Xenopus tropicalis: one gene and its partners. The protein of the gene in region 2 purifies or fractionates together with the protein of the main gene of each other region. This does not show direct contact. Links are inferred from orthologs where the notes say so. Each region holds a gene or a part of one and is shown on either strand. Other genes may lie near its edges.

Region 1 (4,400 bases), on a different chromosome or scaffold from region 2:
GCCAGATCTCGATCGGGCAGGTTTAAAAATCTAGTCGGATCGGGGACCGCATCGGCTCGTTGTTGCGGTCCCCGGACCGACTTTTCCTATGCCCGACATTATAATTTGATCGTTTGGCCCCAGGGCCAAACTATCGAATTAGCCTGGATTCTCCTGATATCGCCCACCCGTAGGTGGGGGATATCGAGAGAAGATACGCTCGCTTGGCGACATCGCCAAGCGGATCTTAAGGTGTATGGGCACCTTAAGACATTCTGTAACATTAACAATTTACATTAACAATTAACTAAGAATGGAGAACTGAATAGTACAATTTACTCTGCAAGATCATGCAAATATTAAATTGGCTAAACAGTAGAAAAAAAGTAGAAACCAAAGTAGAAAATTTGAATGTAAATTTTCTCAATAATGTTGCTGCACTGTTTACTTTTAAAGGACAATGTCATTTTAAAGATAAAGCATTTTTCTAAAGCGGTTTGTCGAGTTCTTGTCAGTAATTAATGCTTCAATCTATGGGTTATTTATGGGCTAATTATGCAGAGAGACCATAATAGCAAATGACATGACATGGGGTCTGAAGAAATAGGAGGTAGAATTTAAGCCTGAGACCCTAGTGTAAGATCAAGTGTCAACAGTAGATCTGGAATGTAAAGCAGATAAAGACTGATGTTTCTGTTATTTTTCAATATTTTGGGCCCTGCGCTGCAGAGAGATTTAGTTTGTTGCAATTCATAAGCATTTGATATTGAAATATTTATTAGGGCTCTTATACAATATGGCCCTGTCCCTCCCACCTACTCTAAATGTGCTAAAGGTCAAGGTAACAGTGCTAGAGGTCAGGTTACCCTAAACAGGCAGAATGTAAGCTGCTGTTACCCAGGTAATGAATAATCCAAGAATGAAAAGAATATATTGCAACTAATAACAGATGTTGTCCCAGAATCATTTTCTCACCTGCCCCATCTGGAGTGATACTTCCTAGTCTTACTGCCAAAGGGTAGCCCATTTGCTTATGGTGTTCAAGAGCGTGTCCGTTCCCACCACTGCCTGAACAAAACCACCTTCCACACATAATGGAGCCATCTGTCAAGTTCAACCACAGGTTCTCTTGGAGATCACACTTGGAGCACTTCCAGCCACTGAGAAACAGGCTACTTAATTAACAAGTTCAAAAATTTGGTAAACACTTTTCATACAACATAGCACTAGTAAATCTGCGGACACTGCCAGACTTAATATTTTATATAGCAAAACTTTATACAAATGTTTAGAGCAATATTTAGGGCAAAATGTTTGCACTATACAGCTAAAAAAAGGGCTAAGAATGACAGTTTCCACTCCTTGCTACTTCATGACAGTTACCTTGGTGGAATCTTCACACCATTATCTATTTGCACAAGGTTGTTTGCAAACTTTGAAACCTGGAGTTCTTCTTCCCATGATTCTTGGTCAAGCTTTCTATATGGAGACTTTGAATTGAGGACTGCATCACAGGCTATTGTTACCTGCAAACAAAGTGGGTTAAACCTTCAAACACTTTTGCATCAAAGCAGATAGAAGGATGGTACATAAAAAGGATTTCTCACATTAAACTCTATGGGAGGTGGAAAGGGACAATTCATAGCTCCTTGACAACACACTAAAAAATAAAGCAGATAAAACACACAAAATTTGCCCCATTTTATATAAGCCTCATAACCCACAAAACAATTTGACTTCCGATTAAAAGTGGAGGTGCACTGTCATCTGCTTTTAGCATCATCTCTTATGGCAGGCAGTAAATGTGATTCTGGCTGTTTTGACTGTATATGAGTTTAGGATTTAAGCACCAACACATTTGGGGTTGAGATACAGGTTTCTGCCCCCTAATGACAGACACATTCAGTTACATGACACAGACTGCACAGCCACTTTCAGGCCCCACTTCTTCAGATGAAAAACCACAAAGGGGAATGAGTCAAAGGTCCATTGCACATTGGTCTTAAAAGATTATTTTTTTAAAGCATTAATGTGTGATAATTAATAGGTAAAATGCTATTCATGATGCGTGCAGTAATCATATGATAATGGTAGATGGGATATCTTTGGCTGTCATTTTTTGTAGCTCAGGAAGTAATGCCATGGAAAATAATGTATATAAGTCTAGGTTATGGTTGCCTCCCAGGACACTAAAGATCACAGGCACTAAACTGATGCATTTACCATTGACCTAAGGCTGATGCCACGCGGGGCTGATTCTCGGCCTGCGTTAGCCTCTTACCTTGCCTGCACCCGAAAGCATTGTGTCCACCTGGGTACAGGCAGAAGCAGCAAATATTGGCTCTGAGATGTAAACTCTCAGCAAGTCTACCGCAGCCCCATGTGACATCAGTCTAGTACTTCTAAACCCTTAACACACAAGGTGTTTTGTCTGTCGCTGCCCTCAGGCAGAGAGAAGCAGCAGCAACCAAAATGCCCCTCTCAACCTAGTGCTTGGTTTCCACTTCCATCACTATTCTATGTCCATTCAAATGCACATGTGTCATTCACTAGTATAAGGAGCTGTAACAGGTGGAGAGGGGTGTTTTGTCAGCCACTGTTCTTAGCCTGAAGTCAGCTGTTCACAAAACACCCCATGTGCCAGAGGCCTAAACGTAAACAAGTATTTTAGTAACAGTAGAAGCAGTCATGCAGGCCTGCAATGCCCAATTTGCATAGCATGTAACAGATGAGCAGCTTAGAACACAATGCTGCTCCAAGTAATCTGACTGTTTGGCGTTACTTGCACTTCAAATGCAAAGGGTCTTCACACTTCACAGAGTAAATATGACATTTCCCATTTGTCAAGGGATTACCGTACACAAATCTATTTGCAGACCATAGATAAAAAAAAGGGACTAAAAAAAGTCCCAAAAAGGAAACTCATGAGATGCAAATATTGCTTGGTTTGTGTTCACACTGTACAATCCCACTCAAAGTCACTGACCAATGCGGGTAGCTCTTCTATATTAGGTAAGGCAATTTCAAAGTGATCTGGGAATATAACAAGTTTTGCTTCATCTTCGTATTCATAATCTTCAGTGTTCATCTCGGTGTTATTTTCTAGATCTGGAAAACACAGGGGTATTAAGCTCAGCAACATAAATATAAAACATAATTTATCTAAATCAATGCATGGAAATGAATAAAGAAAAGATTCTTCTTTTTGCACCAAGTCACCTAAAGTTTATATTTACAAAATAAATGGGAGAAGTCCATAAGTATTTGTCCCTGTGTTGCCTAGTCATAGATCTAATGTCCATAAGAACAAAGTACATATACCTTATTATTACCAGATATAGCAACAGAATATGGCTTGAAGCATTACTCAGAAAGAAGTGGTTTGTTATACAGTACTGAAAAGTGTGAAGATCCTACTCTATGGAAAAAAATAATCTTGCTGCTTGCCCAATACTACCAACATGAAATAGCTAAAAGTTCATGTACTAAGCAAACATGCTGCTTACCCATACATCTAAAATCAGTGCTTTACTAATATCTATAAAATCTCATTTCATCAATTCATTTAAAATCTAGGACTTCAAACAAAGTTGTTTCTACCTTACTGATAAATAAAAACCAAACACTGTTTAGACTGCACTGAATTGATGTGCCACATAATAAAATGGAACCCTCACTGATTGAAGTGAATTTGGTTGGAGGGAAACTAAATCAGATTAGTAAAATTCAGATTGTTAAAATTAATTTGGAGAATCATCTGAGCCCACAGATGAGTTAGGTTCAGAAGGAAATGGTTTCTGATGGAACAGAACAGCTGACCGACTTATAGGTGACAGTGCACTGGAAAAATAACAGAGGAGGTAGAAGAAAGGAGTGGTGCCTGACTGGACATGCCTGTTTCAGAATTAGATCAGTTACCAGCTGAAGAGTGAATCAAGCAGCTATAATTAGCTCTTAGTTAGGGAATGCTAATAGGGGCGCCAGATAAGAAAGGTTCCTCTTGTTTCTTTGCTGAGATTTTCCACTTTTTGACAAGGTTTGCCTTAACTAGGATTGTTGTGCCTGATAAATGTATATAGAAAACTATTTTAAGAAATAAGAATGGGAACATTATATAGAACGGAATAACACAGATAAGTATTACAGATAGTATAATCATATTAAAAAGTGCTTTGCAATTTTAAAACAAATTAAACCTGTGCTTATTTAGTATACTCCAGCTTTCAACAATTGTTATACATGTTTGTAATGAAGATAAATATAAAAAGCAGTTTACTTTACCTAAAAATAGTCTCCCATTTATTCTTTTTGGAAAGGCCCCGCCTGATGCGCCAGTTGCTTTCTAAAATGAAATAAATGAATTCTAGAAATGTTGCAATAAGCAGCCGCAAAATAGAATTAAGTTACTGATAAAAACATAC
Region 2 (4,400 bases):
TGTCCACCTAAAATGAAAGAGAATATGCATCTATATTTAAAACGTGTTTCTTTTTAGGAAATCTATCAAAATCCCTCAACTTAATTGGATGACTTTACAACCCCTTTAAATACCAATATCAGATAGGTTGTGCAAGCAGCCATCTTTAGAAGGTCTGAGGTGATGAGTACGTATAGCAGCAGTTAAGGGAGGGAATGATGCCTCTTGTGCTGTTCAACCTAACGTAAGCAAGTGTGTATTGGGTCCTTGTAGGACTAACAAATGCTACCAATATTCTGACAACTAAAAGCAAGCAAGCAGTTCTTATTCCCAACCACTCAAACAGGTGAACAAAAATATAAATAAACAATAAAACACAGTAAATAAAAAAAAACTTTGAGTAAGTGTAATTTTGTGAAGGAGTTACATTTCCTTTAAGGTTCACACTGCTCCTTACCTGATTCATTTTCTCCTTCAGATCTTTCATTTCCCGTTCTCTGCTCTGAATTATCCGCTTAATATCATTGATACGAGGGCTAAAATTGGCCAGTTCACTCTCCAACTTGGATTTTTCCTGTTAGGGAGAGGAAAGAAATAAATAGATTGGGAAATCTCAGACACTATGACCAGGGGATCTCCTGCTGGGCCTCATCTAATTCAGACAATTCCCATCAGCCCATTTTCTTTTTATATATGACATCTATTACATTTACCACTGTCTAGAGGTAATAGTTATCACTGTGGACCCTCGATGTTGGATTTTAATACATGCTTGTGAACAACCAAGATCACTGTGCCCACAAGACAACTGCTGACAAATGCATAGAATATAATAGAACATATATGGACAGCAAAATAAGTTTTTTTGCAAATCTGGCTACTTACCTGCAAGTTCATAGCCAAATGCCGGGTTTTGGTTTGTTCCAGATCACTCTGGGAGTATTTCAGCCTCATCTGTAGACCATGGGCTTGGGACTGCACCTGTCTCAGTTCAGCCTCTTTGCGTTTGGCTTTCATTTGCTCCTATAAGAGATAAGCCCTTGTCTGTGAGACTCTCTTTGTTTGAGCCATGTAACCAAGATTTTTAGCTCCTTAGGTAAAAACGTGACTGGTACCTCCACAAGCTTTCTAAAATACTTAATTGGCGTGTCTTTCTTCTGATTAAGTCTCACCTTTAGTTCCTCTGTTAAGCGCTCCTTTTTCTCCTTGAGTTTATCCACTGCTTTCTCATCCCACCTCCTGGCCTTGGCTTTTAAGTCACTGGCACCTCCAGAGATCACACCAGACTTCTGGAATAAGGTTCCATCCAGGGCCACTGTCTGCAGAGCAAGAAGATACAGTGTTTTAGTTAAAATGTACCACATTATTCAGAGCCTGCTAAGATCATATAATACTAGAAATTCAGCTAACATCTCAGGCATCAAATAAAGAAATGGTTATTGCTTAAAATTCAATTCACTCTGCTCAGAGTTGCCTAATATTCACCTTATGCCTTTGATGTCCTCCAAAAGCAATCCTGCGTGCATCCTCTACATTGTCACAGACCAGGGCATTACCACAGGCATATTGTAGAGCTTTCTTGATATGCGGAGGCTCATATCGGATAACATCTATCACCAGTTTGGCTCCTTTCAGCTCCCTTAGCTTCTCATCTGTGGGTTTCACCTGGAAGTAAGTAAAAGACAATCAGCTGTTATCAGTGTTAAGATGCAGGTATAAAGTACCCAAACAGCATCACATTAACAGTAAGAATAAAACTTATCTATTCTTGGTCTACATAGCCAACATTCATTCAACAATAATAAGATAAAGTAAAATGGCAACCTCCAAATAATCAAGAGGAAGGAAGGTTTCGGGTTCTCCACGCTGCTCTTTGATGTACTGGATGCAGTCTCTTCCTGTCTTCTCTGAATCAACAATGATAGCATCCATATTCTTTCCAAGCACCTTGGTGACTGCAATCTGGTACTTCTTCTGGGTGGGCTGGCAAAGGTCAATCAGTCGACCATACTGAGGAATAGAAAAGGGATAAATTAATGCTTCCATTGTCCATGATCAACTGAGTGTCAATATGTAGAGGGGACAGATGCCTTTTGAAAATTCCAAATAATCAAACTTACCACAGATCCAGGATACAGTCGCTTTATGCTCTCCATAATCTCAGCTTTCCGCTGCTGTCGGCTACTCTCTTGCCTGTCAATCCTAGCATCTCCCAACTGCTCCATCACCTGATTCAGCTCACTGTTAATCTCATCAATCCTTCGCTTGGCCAGCTCCACCTCTTCAGTTAAGGTCTCCTCCAGGTTCTTCTGTTCTTCCAGTGACTGCCTGTAAGAAATAATATGACAAAGGTGATTATGTGTAGCTATGTTGTCCCTTACCAGTCCTAAAGATTGTGGAAGACTACAAACAAACAACCATCACATACTTGCTGGTGGCAATGTACTCCTCGAGTTTCTCAATTCTCTTCTGGTTCTCTTCTATCTCACGCAATTTCTGTTTAATTTTAGCCTAGAGAAGGAGCATATTCCATTCAGTGACTATTTCCTACTCCCAAGAACTAGAAAATTGGCATTCATATTTTAAAACACAATGGTTAAAAAGTCATCACTGGCACAAACCTCTGTCTCCACTTTTTTCCTCTCCTCCAGATCAAGTCGATCTTGGTCAGCCTTCTGGTCCCTGTTAAACTTCTCAAGCTCTTGGGCTAAAGTGGCTGCTCTCTTACTGGCCTCTTCCTTTAGGCGATGATATTTCTTGACCTAACAAGATCATTTTTGTTTCTCAAAAATCAGTGCTCCCTTAAACATAAGTCAAGCTGAACAGCACGCAAGAAGACCTTACCTGATTTTCTTCCAGTGTAAGATCCCGTCCTTGACTCTGACTTTCCTCCTCCATCCGTTCTTCAAACTCCTGCCGAGCCTTCTCTACAGAAAGCATTTCCTTCTCCAGTTCATCCATATCTGCTTTACGCTTCTTGTACTGCTTTTGGGCATTCTGAAGGGATTTTTTGGCTGCCTCCAACTTTTTGATTTTGTGGGAAGTGTTTTCCTTGGCCTTAATATACTGAGGACGTTTCTGATTCAGTTCCGCATCTTTCTCTCTTCGCAAAACCAAACAGAAGCAAGATGTTAAAATAATCCACAAGTGTAAACACTTAAACCATACATGGGAATACACTGTAGAGAGGCATCAAACGCAATCTGTTTTAAAGATCAATCAAAACACTGTTTACAAATATATGGGTAATTAATTTTTTACTTAAATGTAAGCAAAGAGGTTCTAAACACACACATACAAGTATTGTATATTTCACAAGGATGCTCCTCTGGGCACACACTAATCTATTTTTATTGGCTACTGAGGGTACTAGCAGTTTTGGTAAAAGACTTATTGGTGTTTTTTTTTTTTCTTCAAACTTTTCAGTTTCTGCCTGTAAAGTCATCTAGGCTGACTGTACAGAGAGCAGAGTAGATTGCACACTGGTGAAGACTGTTCTCCCTGGCCTAAAGAATACTAATGATAAAGTTTTCAATTGCATTAGGTGCTTGAAAAAGTATGACATATCTCCCTGCATACATGTGCCTTAACAGTGGTTCTCACTTGATCTCTTTCTCAATGGCCTGCTGCTCTCTCATCATCTTCCCCAAGTCTTTCTTCTTGTCCTTGAGTTCTTCCTCCACCTTATCCATATGCTTCTTGTCCTTCTCTATCCCCTTGTTCTTAACACTCAGATCTTTGTTTAGCTTTTCGATCTCAGATTCATTATGGTAGAGTTTAAACAGTTGCAGCTGAACTTGTGCTCGAGCCACCTCATCTTTCAATCGCTGGTACCGTTCCGCCTGCATGGAGAACACGAAGCTCATAGCGCAATTTGCCAACTCAAAACCAAACTGTAGGGATTGTCATGAAGCAAACTTTTACACCACGTGGCGTGACATTGCAAACAAACCTCTTCTTTTTCCTGCTTGGCCTCCTTCCTCTCAGCAGCGATGTTTTTCTTGCGGTGATAATTAAACTGTGTGTCTTCTTCAGCCTTCACCATCTCCTTCTTGCGCTTATCATACTCCTGTGCCAGCTCTCCTGACCGACTGATCTCTTCAAACAGGGCCGTACGCTCTTTGGGGTTCTTCATGGCAATGGACTCGACCGCCCCCTACAAAGGACAAAAACGTTTTGTATCAAACCTTACCCAATAAACAGTGGAAATAGACAGGTGAAGAAGACATATAGGTAGCAAGATGAAACAATCCCTAATGTCATGTGAATTAAAAGGCATTGCGTGAATTGATTTACCTGGAACACCAGGAAGTTCCGAGCCTTAATCAGGATTCCCAGCTTTTCCAGTTCATCGCTGTACTCCGATAACTGAACTACCTTGTTGTTGATTTTATACTCTGAAGACCCACCTAAAGGAGGCA
Region 3 (3,494 bases), on a different chromosome or scaffold from region 2:
AAGTGCAGAATATTACAGGACAATTTGGTCTGCTTCCCATAAGCAAACGCCTGTACATTGTAGCTGCATTCTTTGGCATTCCCATTACTTACTGATTTGAAGTGTTTAATTGCTCTGCTCTTCCCTCCCATAATGAAATCTATAAGAACAAATACTAACATTCAAAATCACTTAAAGTCAACTTTCCTATACTTTTACAATGTAAATGTTTAATAAAGTGCCAACTTTTACTGGAATTTTTTTCTCGAGGGATAGGTAACCTGCGGCTCTCCGGTATCTCATTTGCTGCACCTCCATCGTCCTTTGAGTTGGTTGGTGGGAATGATGGGTGCTGCAGGGGAATTGCTCGAGAGCAGCAGACTTTGCTTTTCCTTCAGCTGGAAATATAATGGTTTTATTCTTCCCCTGAATGAATTCCCCATCGATTACCTGTGCTTGTGTTTTTAATAAGGGATGAGAGGTGGTTTATGGTTGTTTGGTCCCTGTGCTGTGGTCTTCTACGTCAGGGTTTTTCTTTTTATCATATAATTTTTGCTGTGGGGGTAAGAAGCCATTTTGTAGCTAGACTTAACCATTTATACATCTTTTTTTGTAGAAAGGGTTTAGCGGAAAAGGCAAAAAAAAACGTAGAAATTGAGATTTATCCAAAGTAAAAGGTAATTTTAATTTAGATTTCCTCTTCTATTCTATCCCTATTTTCTTGCTATAATTTTGTAACATATATTAAAAAAAAATATATACATATATATAAAAAAATACAAACTTTGAATTTTGCATTCCGTAGCAGTAAAAGTCAGTGGTACACGTTAAAGACCTGACACTTCCTAGGCACTGGTGGTTTTAATGCATCCCATGGATTGGAGTGGGGGTGTGCTGGGAAATTCATACCACGGTGCCTGGGGTTATAAATCTTTGATGTGTAACATTCACATCCATTCCTATATGTTAAGTCCTGTTTTTTTTTTTCTTCCTTTCCTTCTCCTCTTTTCTCCGTGTCGACGTTGGGCCGTAAAGCTAAGAAAATCAAAAAGATTATCAGATTCTTCGGATGTGGCAGCGCAGATGAACGAAACTGTAGATGTCCAAGATGTTATTGCAATTTGTTGTCCAAAGTACAAGGATCGGCCACAGATTGCAAAAGTAGTGCAGAAAACCAGCCATGGCTTCAGTGTTCAATGGATGGCAGGCTCCTACAGTGGCACCTGGGCCGAAGCCAAACGCCGGGACGGCAGAAAACTGGTGCCTTGGGTAGACACTATCAAAGAGTCAGACATTATTTACAAAAAAATTGCTCTGACGAGCGCTAATAAGCTGACTAATAAAGTTGTTCAGACTTTACGATCGCTGTATGCAGCCAAGGACGGGACTTCCAGCTAATGAATTTGTATATTTGCAGCCAAAATTTACAGGAATCCAGAAACACACACAAACTTGAAAAAAAAAAACAAAAACCTGCATTCTGGCAAAAATTAATTAAAAAAAAAACTACAAAAACCCCTAAACACACACACAAAAAGGTGATCAGTTTTATCGCAACGTAAACAAAAAAAACCAACAAAGCAAAACGGGAACTTGGCCGTCAGAAGGAAATGTTTGGTAAACATTGTGTGGGAGCTTCCTTCGCTGTTGTACAGCAGAAACCGTCTCAGTTCATTTTTACTCCCACTGTATTATAGTTTAACAAAAATTGTTTATATCTTGAAGAATACTTTCTGTTTAAAAAAAAGACAAACGCAAAAAAAAACAAAAAAAAAAACAACGAAAAAATAAACAAGTGAATGTTGAAAATTAGTCTGTTAATGTTCTTAATAAAGTGTTCTTGGAGTTTAATAACCTAGCAGCGGATGGCTTTCTTTAGCTTAGCCCGGGCTCCAGGGGAGCACTCATTTCCCTTTTACTCTTTTACTTTTTATTTTCTTTCATTTTATTTTTTTAATCCCCGGCTGTAAAGTGGCAGAATGCTCTGGATATATATAATTTATTCTGTTTAAAAGAAACAAAACAAAAAAAAGCATGCAGTATCTACGGCCTATCTGCAGGAGGAGGGTGTTTGTTATTTTTGTTTTTTCTTTTTTTTTTTTTTTTTGTAAATGTAGATTTTGATGTATTAGGTCACCCTGAAAAATAACACGAGACAAACACAAAAAGGGATCCCCCCCAGACGACCTGGCGGAGATAATACTGCAATAAATTTTTTTTACTTCTTTGTTACTTGTCTGTTTCCATTCAACTTTCTTGATGTAAAGCTGTTTTGAATTGGATTATATTATTTTGCAGTCTTTTATGTAAAGATAAACAAACAAACAAAAGTTTCCTATCAGTCGTTTTCAACTTAAGGCATAAATATTGTTTATACGGTTTGTATAGGCTGACTTGGAAATAACTGCTATCTTTATTTTCACCCCTATGAAAGGGTATAGACACGATTTAACTCCCGATTTTATTGTATCCTTGAAATATTTAGTGTTAACCATATGATTTAGCACTGTGCCAAACACATTTTCAAGAATGTTTGATATAAAAAGAAACTATAGTTTATTCCTTGTATGTTTGGATTTCTTTACTCTGCTCTTCAGAATGGTTCGCTCCAACGTTTATTCTGTTTTGCTTGTGAATTTTGCAAATTGAAGACTCAACGATCTGAGTTTAATTTCTTATTTTCAGTTCTCTTGTTTTTTTGGGCTGTTCACCATAACGTACCAATGGTGGCCTTGAACTGTGTGTATAGCAAAAATTTGTGTTAGAAAAGCTATAATATGTCTGGTGAGGGGGAAGAACACACACCGTAGGCATTATTTCCTTATCGATAAGACCATAGCCAATGTTCTTGTTGCCATGCTAACAGCCCATAACTTACAGTTCTTTGCAAAGAGTGGTTGCTATGCTGGTGCCTTGTAAAAAAAGGTAAGTGGGTCATATAAGAAACGGCTGAAGACAGGAGGTAACTTCCAAGTCTGATTATTAAAGGGATCCTAAATGACACTGTATACATTGCAAATAATTCACTCGGCTATTTAAAATTGTATTCTTGAACCAACACATGTATTTGTAGCTGTAATATTGGTGTGTAGGCGCCATCTCAGTGCATTGTGCCTGAGTCTGAGCTTTCAGCCAGCGCTACACATTAGAACTGCTTTCAGCTAACCTATTGTTTCTCCTACTCCCATGTAACTGGAGGAGTCCCAAGCCGGACTTGGATTTCTTACTATTGAGTGCTATTCTGATACCTACTGGGAGCTGCTATCTTGCTCCCTTCCCATTGTTCTGCTGATCAGCTGCTGGGAGGGGGGGATATCACTCCAACAGCAGCGCAGCAGTAAAGTGTGCCTGAGTCTGAGCTTTCAGAAGGAGCCAGCGCTACACATTAGAACTGCTTTCAGCTAACCTATTGTTTCTCCTACTCCCATGTAACTGGAGGAGTCTTGGTTAGACTTGGGTCTTTTACTACTGAGTGCTATTCTCATATTTACCATTAGGTGGGGCATGGGAGCATT

What was found. Proteins that work in one complex are often made in the same cells at the same time.
Region 1: the proteins of smc1a (region 2) and usp13 purify together in Homo sapiens (affinity purification with mass spectrometry; 5 studies listed by BioGRID and IntAct, with this or other methods). This does not show direct contact. The link is inferred for Xenopus tropicalis from reciprocal best matches to the Homo sapiens genes SMC1A and USP13.
Region 3: the proteins of smc1a (region 2) and nipbl purify together in Homo sapiens (affinity purification with mass spectrometry; 3 studies listed by BioGRID and IntAct, with this or other methods). This does not show direct contact. The link is inferred for Xenopus tropicalis from reciprocal best matches to the Homo sapiens genes SMC1A and NIPBL.

What each region holds. Positions count from the first base shown.
Region 1 is NC_030681.2:108,726,969-108,731,368, forward strand, and holds part of usp13 (ubiquitin carboxyl-terminal hydrolase 13), read right to left. Parts: intron 4,322-4,400; coding exon 4,261-4,321; intron 3,088-4,260; coding exon 2,966-3,087; intron 1,506-2,965; coding exon 1,363-1,505; intron 1,155-1,362; coding exon 955-1,154; intron 1-954. UniProt on the Homo sapiens protein: Deubiquitinase that mediates deubiquitination of target proteins such as BECN1, MITF, SKP2 and USP10 and is involved in various processes such as autophagy, endoplasmic reticulum-associated degradation (ERAD), cell cycle progression or DNA damage response.
Region 2 is NC_030684.2:23,832,290-23,836,689, reverse strand, and holds part of smc1a (structural maintenance of chromosomes protein 1A), read right to left. Parts: intron 4,389-4,400; coding exon 4,276-4,388; intron 4,136-4,275; coding exon 3,932-4,135; intron 3,822-3,931; coding exon 3,583-3,821; intron 3,083-3,582; coding exon 2,824-3,082; intron 2,742-2,823; coding exon 2,601-2,741; intron 2,491-2,600; coding exon 2,408-2,490; intron 2,308-2,407; coding exon 2,100-2,307; intron 1,990-2,099; coding exon 1,804-1,989; intron 1,645-1,803; coding exon 1,465-1,644; intron 1,299-1,464; coding exon 1,152-1,298; intron 1,003-1,151; coding exon 865-1,002; intron 554-864; coding exon 437-553; intron 1-436. UniProt on the Homo sapiens protein: Involved in chromosome cohesion during cell cycle and in DNA repair. Central component of cohesin complex. The cohesin complex is required for the cohesion of sister chromatids after DNA replication.
Region 3 is NC_030677.2:197,857,624-197,861,117, reverse strand, and holds the end of nipbl (nipped-B-like protein), read left to right. Parts: intron 1-595; coding exon of another isoform or gene 596-637; exon of another isoform or gene 638-656; intron 657-1,014; coding exon 1,015-1,377; 3' UTR 1,378-2,538; downstream 2,539-3,494. UniProt on the Homo sapiens protein: Plays an important role in the loading of the cohesin complex on to DNA. Forms a heterodimeric complex (also known as cohesin loading complex) with MAU2/SCC4 which mediates the loading of the cohesin complex onto chromatin.